3 linked regions of the Oryctolagus cuniculus genome follow. The protein of the gene in region 2 interacts with the protein of the main gene of each other region in a pairwise test. Links are inferred from orthologs where the notes say so. Each region holds a gene or a part of one and is shown on either strand. Other genes may lie near its edges. The genes, in order: WWC1, CDC5L and AKAP9.

Evidence for each region.
Region 1: the proteins of CDC5L (region 2) and WWC1 interact in a two-hybrid assay, tested with the Homo sapiens proteins (2 studies listed by BioGRID and IntAct). The link is inferred for Oryctolagus cuniculus from reciprocal best matches to the Homo sapiens genes CDC5L and WWC1.
Region 3: the proteins of CDC5L (region 2) and AKAP9 interact in a two-hybrid assay, tested with the Homo sapiens proteins (2 studies listed by BioGRID and IntAct). The link is inferred for Oryctolagus cuniculus from reciprocal best matches to the Homo sapiens genes CDC5L and AKAP9.

Annotation. Positions count from the first base shown.
Region 1 is NC_091437.1:55,263,315-55,266,959, reverse strand, and holds part of WWC1 (protein KIBRA), read right to left. Parts: intron 2,763-3,645; coding exon 2,570-2,762; intron 1-2,569. UniProt on the Homo sapiens protein: Regulator of the Hippo signaling pathway, also known as the Salvador-Warts-Hippo (SWH) pathway.
Region 2 is NC_091436.1:125,738,299-125,742,043, reverse strand, and holds the start of CDC5L (cell division cycle 5-like protein), read left to right. Parts: upstream 1-1,408; 5' UTR 1,409-1,746; coding exon 1,747-1,791; intron 1,792-3,745.
Region 3 is NC_091447.1:43,776,080-43,779,824, reverse strand, and holds the start of AKAP9 (A-kinase anchor protein 9), read left to right. Parts: upstream 1-1,467; 5' UTR 1,468-1,553; coding exon 1,554-1,601; intron 1,602-3,745. UniProt on the Homo sapiens protein: Scaffolding protein that assembles several protein kinases and phosphatases on the centrosome and Golgi apparatus. Required to maintain the integrity of the Golgi apparatus. Required for microtubule nucleation at the cis-side of the Golgi apparatus.

The sequences.
Region 1 (3,645 bases), on a different chromosome or scaffold from region 2:
AACAGAGACTTAAGCAGAGTATCGTACTTGGAGGTGGGACCCTCTGGAGGTGGTAAGATTAAATGAGGCCATAGGGATGGGACCCTAAGGCAACAGGACTGTGGCTTTATCCAAAGAGGAGGAGAGACCCAGCCGGGACCTTCTGTCTGCTGTGGGATGCACTGTGTCACCTTGGGACTCCGCAGAGTCTTTACCAGCAGAGAAGCCCTCACTCAGTGTAGTTACCTGATCTTGAACTTCCCTGCCTGCACAACTGTGAGCAGAATAAACCTTTAGTTTTTACAAATGACTCAGACTGCGATGCTCAGTTATAGTTACAGAAAGTAGACAGCACGGACGGAGACAGCACAATACATACAGCTGGGTTGTGAGCATTTGTTCCCACTCGTCAGATGGAAAGGAAGGAAAGGGCTGGGACACGGCCCAGTGAGCGTGGCCATGTGAGATGGGCCAGGGGAACCATCACAATGTAAACCAGACCTGGCAGTGGGTCCGCCCGGGCAGAGCATGAGCTGTGTGGCAAAGCTTAGCAGGTGCACAGGGGGCAACCAGGACTCCTGTGAAGCCACAGTGAGCATACTCTGTACTTGCAACAGGCAGGGAAGGCGGGCCTCATGTTCCCCCAAAACCTTGATCTGGGTCAGGGGATATGAGAGTCACTCAGAGCAACCCCAAGAGGTAGGAAAGTGCAGTGGCTACACACAAGGAAGCTACAAACCCTGGCTTCTCCATCGACTTGCTGGAGGATCTGCAGAAGTAAATCAGCCTTTGGCAGAGGGAGGTCACCCCACTACTTCCTCTCAGAGCTACCATGAGGATGCACTGAGATACTGCACACAGAGTTCCTGGCCAAGGGCAGACACCCAGACGCCGCCCAGTGAGGGGACTGCTGCTGCCTGGCTGACCACAGGGCTCCCAGCAGACGCACAAGGCAGGGAGGCTCTGGGTGGCAGAAGACAATCCCTGTCTCCTCCCGTCTCACTTCCTCTCACCACCAAAACATGACAGCCTGACACTCCACGTCCCCATGGCATACGGAAAGGGAGAGCTCCGATTGGCCCCGGACAGAGACAAGCCACAGGGAGATGAGCGCTTTGGCTGCTGCCATGGCAACCAGCAATGGCCAGACTTCAATTAGGAAGGAGGAATAAAAGGCATCCAATTAGGAGGAGAAAATAGCACGAGTCTCCTCGGATTTAGGAATGCCCAGGGCTGAGCAAATGCTCCACTGGAGGCGCCTGGGTGTGGAAAAGCTTTCTGCTGTAACCGAAATGCCCACCACGCTGGCCTGACCCTGGACATCACACTTCCACTCCCACCGACGCTCTCCAGGAAATCCTGAGCAGAGATGGACCCGCCTGGAGTCCAATAAGGCTCCTGCCACTCTCTGACTGTGTGACTACAGGGAAGGTCTTTTGCCACTGTGTGCCTCAGTTTCCCCTCTGGTACACATGACCTGTTTTGTAAGGTTGAAGTGAGCCAGCACACTAAAGCACTTAGCTCAGAGTCCACGAGTTATCATCAAAATTGTCTCAGGGTAGGCATGCAGTCTAGTGGTTAAAAGGCAAGTTAAAAGGTATTTAGGTTTGATTCCCAGCTCTGCCTCCTGACTCCAGCTTCCTGCTAATGTGCGCCCCAGGGGACAGCAGTGACAGCTCAAGTAGTTGGGTTCCTGCGACCCACATGGGAGACTGAGGTTGAGTTCCTGGCTCCTGGCTTCAGCCCATCCAGGTCCTAGCTGTTCTGGGCATTGGAGAGTGACCCACTAGATGGGAGCTGGCTTTATTTTGGCTCTCTCCATCTGTCAGCCTCTCAAACTTAAAAAACAAAACCAATAAATAAATAAACAAAATACTCTATCCTCTAGAATGGCACCAGGGCTAACAAAGACTTCACTTCTTTGATTTGTATGTCACAAGCCCCTGAGTTTAACATAAATCCCCCTTTCATCTACGAGGTGGCTGACCAACATCCACCTGTACATGTGGCTGCTGGTCCCTAAGGACAGGACACACACAGACCCCAGGCTCCTTCATATCCGATCCTGACTCCTGCTAGTGCAGTGGGTGGGAGGAAGCCACATGAGCTCTGTTCCAGGGAGTGGACCAGTAAGGGCCCCGCTGCACGAGAGCCTTCTGTGTGTCAGGCATGGCAGCAGGTGCTTTTCCTGTACTGACTCCCTGGATCCAAGTAACAACTTCCCTAGTGGGCATCACTAGGGCATTTTATGGATGAAAAAACAGAGCACCAGAGATGTTAAGTCCACTGCCCAAGGCCACCCAGCTATATAGCAAGAAGAACTGCTTGTTCTCATTATTCAGTGTTTCTTGTCTCATCCTTAATGCTGCACAGGTAAGCTGTGGTCTGTGGCTGGCATCTCCTGCATTTCTCTCAGGCCCACTACTCTTCCTCTTATGAGGAAAAGTATCTCTGTCTAGAAGCCAACGAACTTGACCGGTGATTCGACCTGGGCCTCCTTCTCGCCTTCTCTCTGCAGCCTGGGGTGGACCAATCCCCAGAAGGCTAGAAGGCTAGAAAGACAGAGGGACAGACGGAGATACGCTCTCACCAGGCACTCCTCTAGATGGCTCCTGTCCGTGGTACAGACGTCGACTCTTAAGGTCTTCTGGTGTAGGGCTGGGTAGGACATGGACACCCAGAATACCTCGTTGAACACCAGGGTGTCCGAGGCGTCCAGGGGCGGCGTCCGGAACAGGCAGGTGGTGCTTTCGGAGCAAGGAAGGATAACCACGCGAACGTTCCTACAGGGAGACAGGGTGGCAGGAGAGCTTGGGTCAGCACAGGTCTGGGGCTACTGTGTTGGGTGAAATAGCCGCTGAATCTCCAAGATTCACAGTGGCTGTGAATGTGCAAATTTCTCAAGTTGCTACACGGGTACTTGTGAGCGATGCAGGATATGCCGCTGAGGGGCATGCACGCCCTTCCTGTCCCTGAATCCCCCGCTCCATACAACCGGAGCCCGAGGCCAGCAGCAGCCAGTGCTTGCTGACACCGGGGAATCTGCCCCTCCTACCCCAAGAGGCAAATGCAACAAAACCTTCCTTGTGCAGGGGAATTCGATAAGCCCAAGAAAACTATAGCTGTGCTGGCCCTCTCTTCTAGGCACTGTCCCCCTGATACCGTGGACAAGGACCAGTGAGACAGACCAGGAGAAGGATGTTCACCCCGGCACTGCCGACACCTGCAGAGGACTGAAGACCCCCGAGCATCCAGTCTCGTCCTCCTTCTGTTTTGTCTGCTTTCCTTTCCCTGCCATTCCTCTCCCCCAGACGCTGGCTGGGTACAGACCAGAGAAGCAGGAGCTCCCGTGGCTGCCCTTATGGCCTAGGATGGTCCCGTTACAGGAGAAGCAAGTAGGCAGACGCGTGCCATCAGATGCAAACCTCGTCTACAACGGGAGAGCCAACACGCAGATGGTGCAGGTGTCTGTTGGCTGATCAGCCTGTCGGTAATCCCAGCCATACCCTGGCACGGGGAGCACAGGAACTGGCGCTGACCCTTGAGAAGCCAGGACTCACTCCTTTCTAGGTGCAACACTTGAGCTCAGAGATCTACCTGACTGTGACCATTCCTTCTTCTTCCTGAGGCTCAAGTCCAGGAGGGCAGGGTCCATGAAGGATTTGC
Region 2 (3,745 bases):
GACGTGTTCTGTTAGATCTGAATACTGTTTGCAAGAAAGGGCTTGGAAAACAGCAGTGCTGTCATTAGTTGCTGAACACATAGGGAGATCAAGTACACATTGGGAGTTATGAGAAAAATATTTGACTAAATACACAGAATATAAAGTATAGTCATTCTAAAGACACTACATTGTGGGGCTGGTGCTGTGGCATAGTAGGCTAAGCCTCTGCCTGTGGTGCCAGCATCACATATGGGCTCTGGTTCTTGTCCCTGCTGCTCCTCTTCCAGTCCAGCTCTCTGCTATGGCCTGGGAAAGCAATAGAAGATGGGTCCCTGCACCCGCGTGGAAGACCCGGAAGAAGCTCCTGGCTCCTGCTTTCTGATCGGCCCAGCTCCCACCATTGCAGCCATTTGGGGAGTGAACCAGTGGATGGAAGACCTCTCTTGCCCTCTCTGTCTGTAAAGCTACCTCTCAAAAAATAAATTTAAAAAAAATCTTAAAAATATCCTGTTGTATCTGAATAATTTTTATGCCAACAAATGACATCAGCATTATTAAAAACACCTAAAAAGTTCCCATTTCAAGATAAAAAAATTATCAGAACATTCTGTAGTTTTTCCAGAAGACGCAAATGGAGAAATGAAAAAACCTAAAGAGCAAGGCACTATATAAAGACCCAGGACTTTCCTCATCCATTAACTAAATATTTTCATATTTCCTAGGACTGGCGTCAAAGCGATGTTCTGAAATGGGAAAGATGTCTGAGTAACTCGGAAGTGGGGTGGCGGAGAGCTGGACAACCCTTATCCAAGGTTAGGTTTTGGTTTGTCACAGCTAATCCTGCCCCTCCGATTGCTGAAGCCGGTGTTGCTGGCTCCACTTTTCAGACGAGCACTCTGAGATTCAGCACGGGTATTACCCACGCTGACGAGACAGCCAAGATTCCGGCCCAACTCGAGTCCGGCTCCCTTAATACCAGCGCCCATAATGGTCTTTGTTATTAATTCACACAGACTGAATGGCGATGGATGAAAGACGCTGAGGGGACATCGGTGGGGGCTTCCGGGACAGCCGCTGCGCCCCTCCCCGGGGGCAGGTGGAGGCGCTGCCCTCCTTGGAATCGCAGCGGCGCTTTTTGGGAACAGTCGTCTGTCAGACCCTGCACTCCGCTGAGGACCTCACTTCTTAGCAGAACCCCACTGGGTGGGGGCTATTATTACTACTCTGTATTACAGGTTGGGAAACTGAGCCGCAGATAAGCTGTTCTCTTCCTCCTGCGTACTCGACTAGCGAAACGCTCAATAAAGCGCTAGTTCGCGACGCTTTCTCCGGACCGGCTACTCTGCAAGGCCACACACAACCCGTCTGCACCCCCACCGCCGAGTGACGTCACGATGACCAACCCCACCGCGACGCCGGGCCGGCCGCCGCTGCGGATGTCTCGCGAGAGCCATGGCTTCCTCCAGCCTGACTTGGACATGCGCGCGGCGCACGGCGCTACGGCCACAGCAGTTTGATGGTTTTCTGTCAGTCTGTACACTAGAGCTTTGAGAAAGCACTTCTAACCTTTCAGCCTCCCGAGATATCGCGAGACTTGCTATTCTGCCACCGCCCCCCCCGCCACCTCCTTGCGCCTGCGCAGATCTCTTCAAAGCAGAAGGTCGCGCTTGGAGGAAGTGGCGGCTTTGGGTCCCGTGACCGGAGCGCCGTTACTACTTTTCTGAAGCTCCTCTCGGCCGCTTGCCGAGACCACCTGTCGCCAAGATGCCTCGAATTATGATCAAGGGCGGCGTGTGGAGAAATACCGAGGTGAGTCTCTTTTCCCGCCGTCCGCTGCCCTCCGCCCCCTCCGGCAGCTTGTGCGCACGCGCGCGCGCGGGGGCCGGGGAGCGGACGAGGATGCCCTGCGGGGTCTGCGTGGGGTGGGCCGGGCCGCGCAGCGCCAGGGCCGACGACCCTCGGCGCCTCAGCGCTGTTCCCCGCCAGGGGTGACGGGAGCGCCCCAAGGACCGGCGGCTCGGCTCCGAGCTCACCGTCAGGCACTTGTTAGGCCCTTAGCGAACATTTGTTGAGTCGAGGCCGCGCCGCCCCGGCCCCCTTTCCCCGAGGTCCCCACTGGGTGGCAGGAGGGGTGGGACATCCAGGAGAGGTGATCTTCCGGGACGCTACCCCCCCTCAGCTCGCGGCTGTCTCTGGCACCCCAAAACTAAAGAACTTGGTGCAGCCACAACTTTGTTTCTTCGCTGACTTCTTGCAGAGAGGGGAAGCAGCTTGCATACCGAGTTCTCGGCGCCCGTTTCTCCTGCATCCGTCGGTTTATCCGTCAGCCAGGCACAGCCTGTGCGCGCTCTCCCGACAGATGCCAAGGCCTGTCTCTCTCTTAGCTTCCCGTCTCTCCGCCTTGGCATGGCTTGAAGCCAGATAGGACAGACTGCTGCGGGTAGTGTCGTAGTGGATCGTGCCATCTGAGAGCCGGAGAGCAGTAGAAAGGGAGCAAGACAGAAATGAGATTTGAGTGCGTTTCGTGTCGAGTGCCCTGGATCGATCAGTTTCTGAGCACGGCTTATCTCGTGTCTTTTATTACCTCTGTGCCTCCTTGCGGTATCCTCGACCCGCTTGGCATCCTCCTGACCTGGTTCAGAAGCCCTTGGCGGCCAAATCTTCGCCTGTTCAGCCTGTGAGCGTTGGTAGCACCCCCCTGTGGGCCCACGGTGCCTGTCATCCACTTGTTGTCGGCTTGCTTTGACTTTTGCCAGTGTCACATCCTTGGGAGTGATGCTGGCAGGTTTCTCCATTTCTCCAAGCCTTAGATTCCTCATGTTTCTGTGGGGATTAAGTGAGCTGCCACATTTGGGACATTTGGAACAGTCGGGAACACAGTAGCCTTTCAGCCAGTGCTAGGCACCTCTTACCTCTCCAGACAGCACTGGGGGAGGGGAGGGGAACAGGTCCTGCTCTTCCTGGAGCACAGGAGAGTAACCAGCGTGAAGTAGTAGGTTGCTTGGCAGATGTTTGTGGAATGCATCTCGGCGGGTACGCGGGACGTAGCTGTGATCTAAGTATTAGAGGTGCAGCACCACGTGACAGATGAAGGCAGTGCAAGTCCCCTCCCTTGTGCTGAGGGAACTAGGCTGTTTGAATGGAGAGGAGTTGACTTGTGAGGGAGAGACCCGTGAAAAAATCAAGTAGTAGCAGGATTCCTGTGCTACGGTCAAATCTGCTGACAGATTTCTACAGTTGGCTGTGGAACAGAGCCTGCAAGTGAAATGTCTCAAGTGCATTCACATCTGGCTCCATCGTCCTCCGCGCCAGTGGCTTGGCTTGCCAGGCTGCTCTGGGATTGGTACATTCCGTGTTTGGGTGGCAGCCCTGGTGAAATAGTATCTAGAGTCTGGGGGAGACTGGAGAGAGATGACTTGGGAGGGGTTGTGGAGAGAAATATTTGAATCTCAGGTTAGAACTGAGATATGGTCTAATCTGAGATGTGGATTCTTGGGTCGTGGTGGGGCGGATGGGGCTGGGGAGGAAAGGCCGTGCTTGAACTGGAGGCAGGAAGTGTGAATTGGAGAGTGGTTTCATCTGAGTCCCAACTTGCTTTTTGAGGCCTGGATGTGTCCTATTCGATTCTCTCCCCAAGTATACAAGACCTGGTGCAAGGCAAGTGTTCAGGAAGTGTTTTCTGAGTGAAGGTGTAAATGAATGAGCTGTGCCTGCTTGAAGAATGACAGCCACATATTGGAGAATACTTTTTGTTAATCTCTGT
Region 3 (3,745 bases), on a different chromosome or scaffold from region 2:
AAGCCGGGAGCCAGAGCTGCTTCCGGGTCTCTCCCGTGGGTTAAGGGACCCAAGCACTTGGGACATCTTCCTCTGCTTTGCTAGGCCCTTAGCAGGGAACTGGAACAGAAGAGCAGCAGCTAGGACTGGAACCAGCGCCAGGTGGGGGCTTAACCTGGTATGCCAGAGCACCCCCCTCCCACCTTTTCCTTTTTTAACCCCAAGTTTCACTGAATATCACCAATACGTTGAACTCGCAGCTTGTTTCCACTCCTGACAGTTTCTCAGCCCAACCTCACTCAACAAAGGAGAGGGGAACTCAACATCAGTATTCAACCTAAGACAGGATCATTTGTATTCACTCTAGGAACGGAGGGTTGGCGAATGGGAGGGTGGTGAAGGGGGCAGGAGGAGGATTGCGGGGCCAGGTGAGTGGAAGAAACGGAAGAGTAATGATCAATTTATAGACGTGACCAGTCAACCCAGCAGTATTTATTCGGAGCAAAGCCCTGTGCTAGTCGTTTATTAATGCCACGGTGAGCAGGATCCATGAGGGGGTCCGTGCCTCCAAGGAGCCAGGAATATCAGGTGACCTAAGAAGCACGCAAGCCAACAAAACGCGTGCAGAGGACATCAAGGAAATTCGAGAAAAACGGCAACCGACATTAATTCGGGGCGATTCGGTAGGCCAGGGGCAGTCACAAAGATGACCACCCTTCCCCAATCCCAGGACAGGTAACGTGTGTCGTGTCAGGTGGTGCGCCCGGGCTGGGTCCCCGAGAGCACCGCTGCCAGAGGCCCCAGCGAGGCTGGATGGGAGTGCAGGTTCAGCAGGAGCCCTCCCGGGGGCGGGGGGCGAACAAAGACAGGAGCCGTGTGCGTGCAGGCGGAGGCGTGCGAGGTGGGCCTCGGAGGACCCGGCAGCCTGGGCGGGAACCGGCGTGGGCCAGGGGGCGGGACTGCGAGGCCAGGGAAGTCACCGCCGCAGTCGCCGCTCTCCCGGTTTCTGGCGTGGAGGAGTCCACCTAGGTTGAAAAGCCGGGGTCCGGCAAGTCTCTCCCGCCTGCTGGCCACTGTGGCTGCTCAGAGGTCCTTCATATCTGATGGCTTCGTGATTGGAAAAACCGCTCTGTTTGAAGAGCGCCGAGTCCCGCGCACCGTGGCGGCACTGCTGGCCGGCGGGCGGGCGGCCCTGGACACCGCTCCCGCCTCAGCCCCGCCGCCGCCGGGAGCCGCCGGGAGCCGCCGGGCCGCGGGAGGACGGCGCGGGCGGGGGCGGGGCCGCGGCGCACCTGCCCGGCGCGGCGGCTGCGCGGACCGACGTCCCCCCCCCCCCACGACGCCCGCCGAGTGTTTACGTGGAGACGAAGATGGCGGCGGCGGTGACGGCGCTGGCCGTGCGGCCCGGGACGAGCCGCCAGTGAGCGCGGAGGCTGCTCGCGCTCCGGGCGGGGCCGCGCCGCGCCGGGCCTGCTCGCTGGGCCGCGGAGCTCGCCGCCCCACCTCCGCCTGAACCGACCTTTCCTGTCTCCCCCAAACCCCGCCCGCTGCTCCGCCGCCTTCCCGCAGAGGCCATGGAGGACGAGGAGCGACAGAAGAAGCTGGAGGCCGGCAAAGCGAAGGTAGGAGAGGCGGAGGCAGCCGGGCCCGGGGAGGGAGGCGGCGGCTGGGCAGGGTGGGAGGGGGCCTGGGAGCGGAGCTGGCGGCGGCCGGCGCGCGCTGGCTGGCGGGGAGCGAGGTGCCGCGGCCCCGCGTTTCCCCCTCGCCCCTTGTTCCAGTAGGGGCGAAGCCCGGCGCCCCCTCCTCGCCGCCGATACTTGGGTGCTGAGTGAACGGCGTGGCTGCTTTCTCGTAAATGCCCAGGGCTGCCGTCAGCTGGTGTTTAATTGCTCCCGAATCTCAGCCTTTCACTTTCTTCAGGGGGTGTTCTGGGCGGTGCAGGCGTTGTGCTGCCCAGCGAGGAGATTCAGGGCTTCTCCTTTATTTGGGGGGGATTGGCGCGCGGCCGGCGGCTCGCCCGCCTCTCTGGCACGCTGGCACTCCGGGGCGTGTGTGATTGGCCTGTGACAGCTGCCTCGGCAGTGGCTCGAGTGTGCCACAAGTGCCAGCTGTGAACTTGGCTGCAGGGGCGTTGACAGAAGCGTGCCTTTGTATGTCTGTCTGCGGAGGTCTTTGTCGCGGCACCGAGGCTGTCTGCATGGAACTTCTGGGAACCCAGAGGTTCTGTGTTCCAAGTGACACCTACAGAATTCCTGCTTTGAGTAATGTCGTTGTCCTCTGTGTAGCTCCGGTGAGCCGCTGTTTCGTGTGTGTGCGCGCGCGCACGAAAAAGCCTGTAAAGCAAACAATACAAAATCATACACAGGTGTCATTCCTTGGGCTTCATGAAAAACTTGACACGAGATACATTTGAATAACCTATTTCTTTTAAACATTGCGTGTTAGACGTGTCTTCTGGTTGGCCCCAAAGGACCCCTTCTTCTTTACAACGAAATGACCTTTTGTAGGTTATCTGCTAATCTCTGTAGAGGTAATTGTCAGCAATCATACTTGGACTGCGGTTAAATGGTAGTGTAGTTAACTGTTTCTCCTCTCCGCCTTCCCTCCCCTCCCCCCACATAAACAAAGGAAACCGGGGCCCTGGCTGCAGTCCTCCGGGAAGGGCCACCTGCAGAGGTGCAGCAGGAGAGTGCTCATCCCAGGTGTGTCTGCCTGCGTGTGTAACGTAGCAATGCAGTGGGCTTTGCAGGAAGCTCCCTCCGCCCGAGGTCCAGGCTCACAGGTAGCCAGGTGGACTTTTAGAATCTGTACATGGAGGGAAGGGGAACAGGGCACCTTCCAGAGCCCCCAAATTGCTTACATTACACAAACCCCGTGTGTCCCTTGAGGGAGGTTAGCTGTGTGCTGGCTTCCAGAAGCACTGAAGTTCTAATCTGTCTGGCTTGGGAATTTTTACTGCTTGCCCCCAAAAATGTCTTTCCTAAAAACATGTGAAGCAGTCCCATGAAAGGTGATTTACTTTGGACAGACATATATCATGATAGAGGATTTAATTAAATAGTTGTAAGTAGTTGATTTGGCAAAATGGAGTTCTGTATGCTCTAGCGGTGTGTGTGTGTGTGTGTGTTTCAAAATTCTACCAATGGAGTAATGTTAATAGGTTAACTTGTATTTCAGAAGTTTATCTTCTTCTGGAGTTAAGCCTGCTTTTCCCAGTGAGAAATCTGTGAAACGTATAAGGCAGGATATGTTTGGGGCCACATTAGCTCTGCAATAAAAATACCGAAATAAGTCTTGAGAGATGATATGAAGAGACTGGCTTTCTAAGATGTATAAATGCAATGGAATAGTATGCAGCCATTAACGTTATGAAGACTAACAGCATGGAAGATAGAATGAAAATGGCATCATCAAAAATAGTCTATAAATTATTTCCTCTCTATATAAGCATGTGTTTTAGTTAGGACTGAAAAACATTGGGTTCTTTTTTTTTTTTTTTTTTTTTTTTGACAGGCAGAGTGGACAGTGAGAGAGAGACGGAGAGAAAGGTCTTCCTTTGCCGTTGGTTCACCCTCCAATGGCCGCCACAGCCGGCGTGCTGCGGCCGGCGCACTGCGCCTATCCGAAGGCAGGAGCCAGGTACTTATCCTGGTCTCCCATGGGGTGCAGGGCCCAAGCACTTGGGCCATCCTCCACTGCACTCCCTGGCCACAGCAGAGAACTGGCCTGGAAGAGGGTCAACCGGGACAGAATCCGGTGCCCCGAC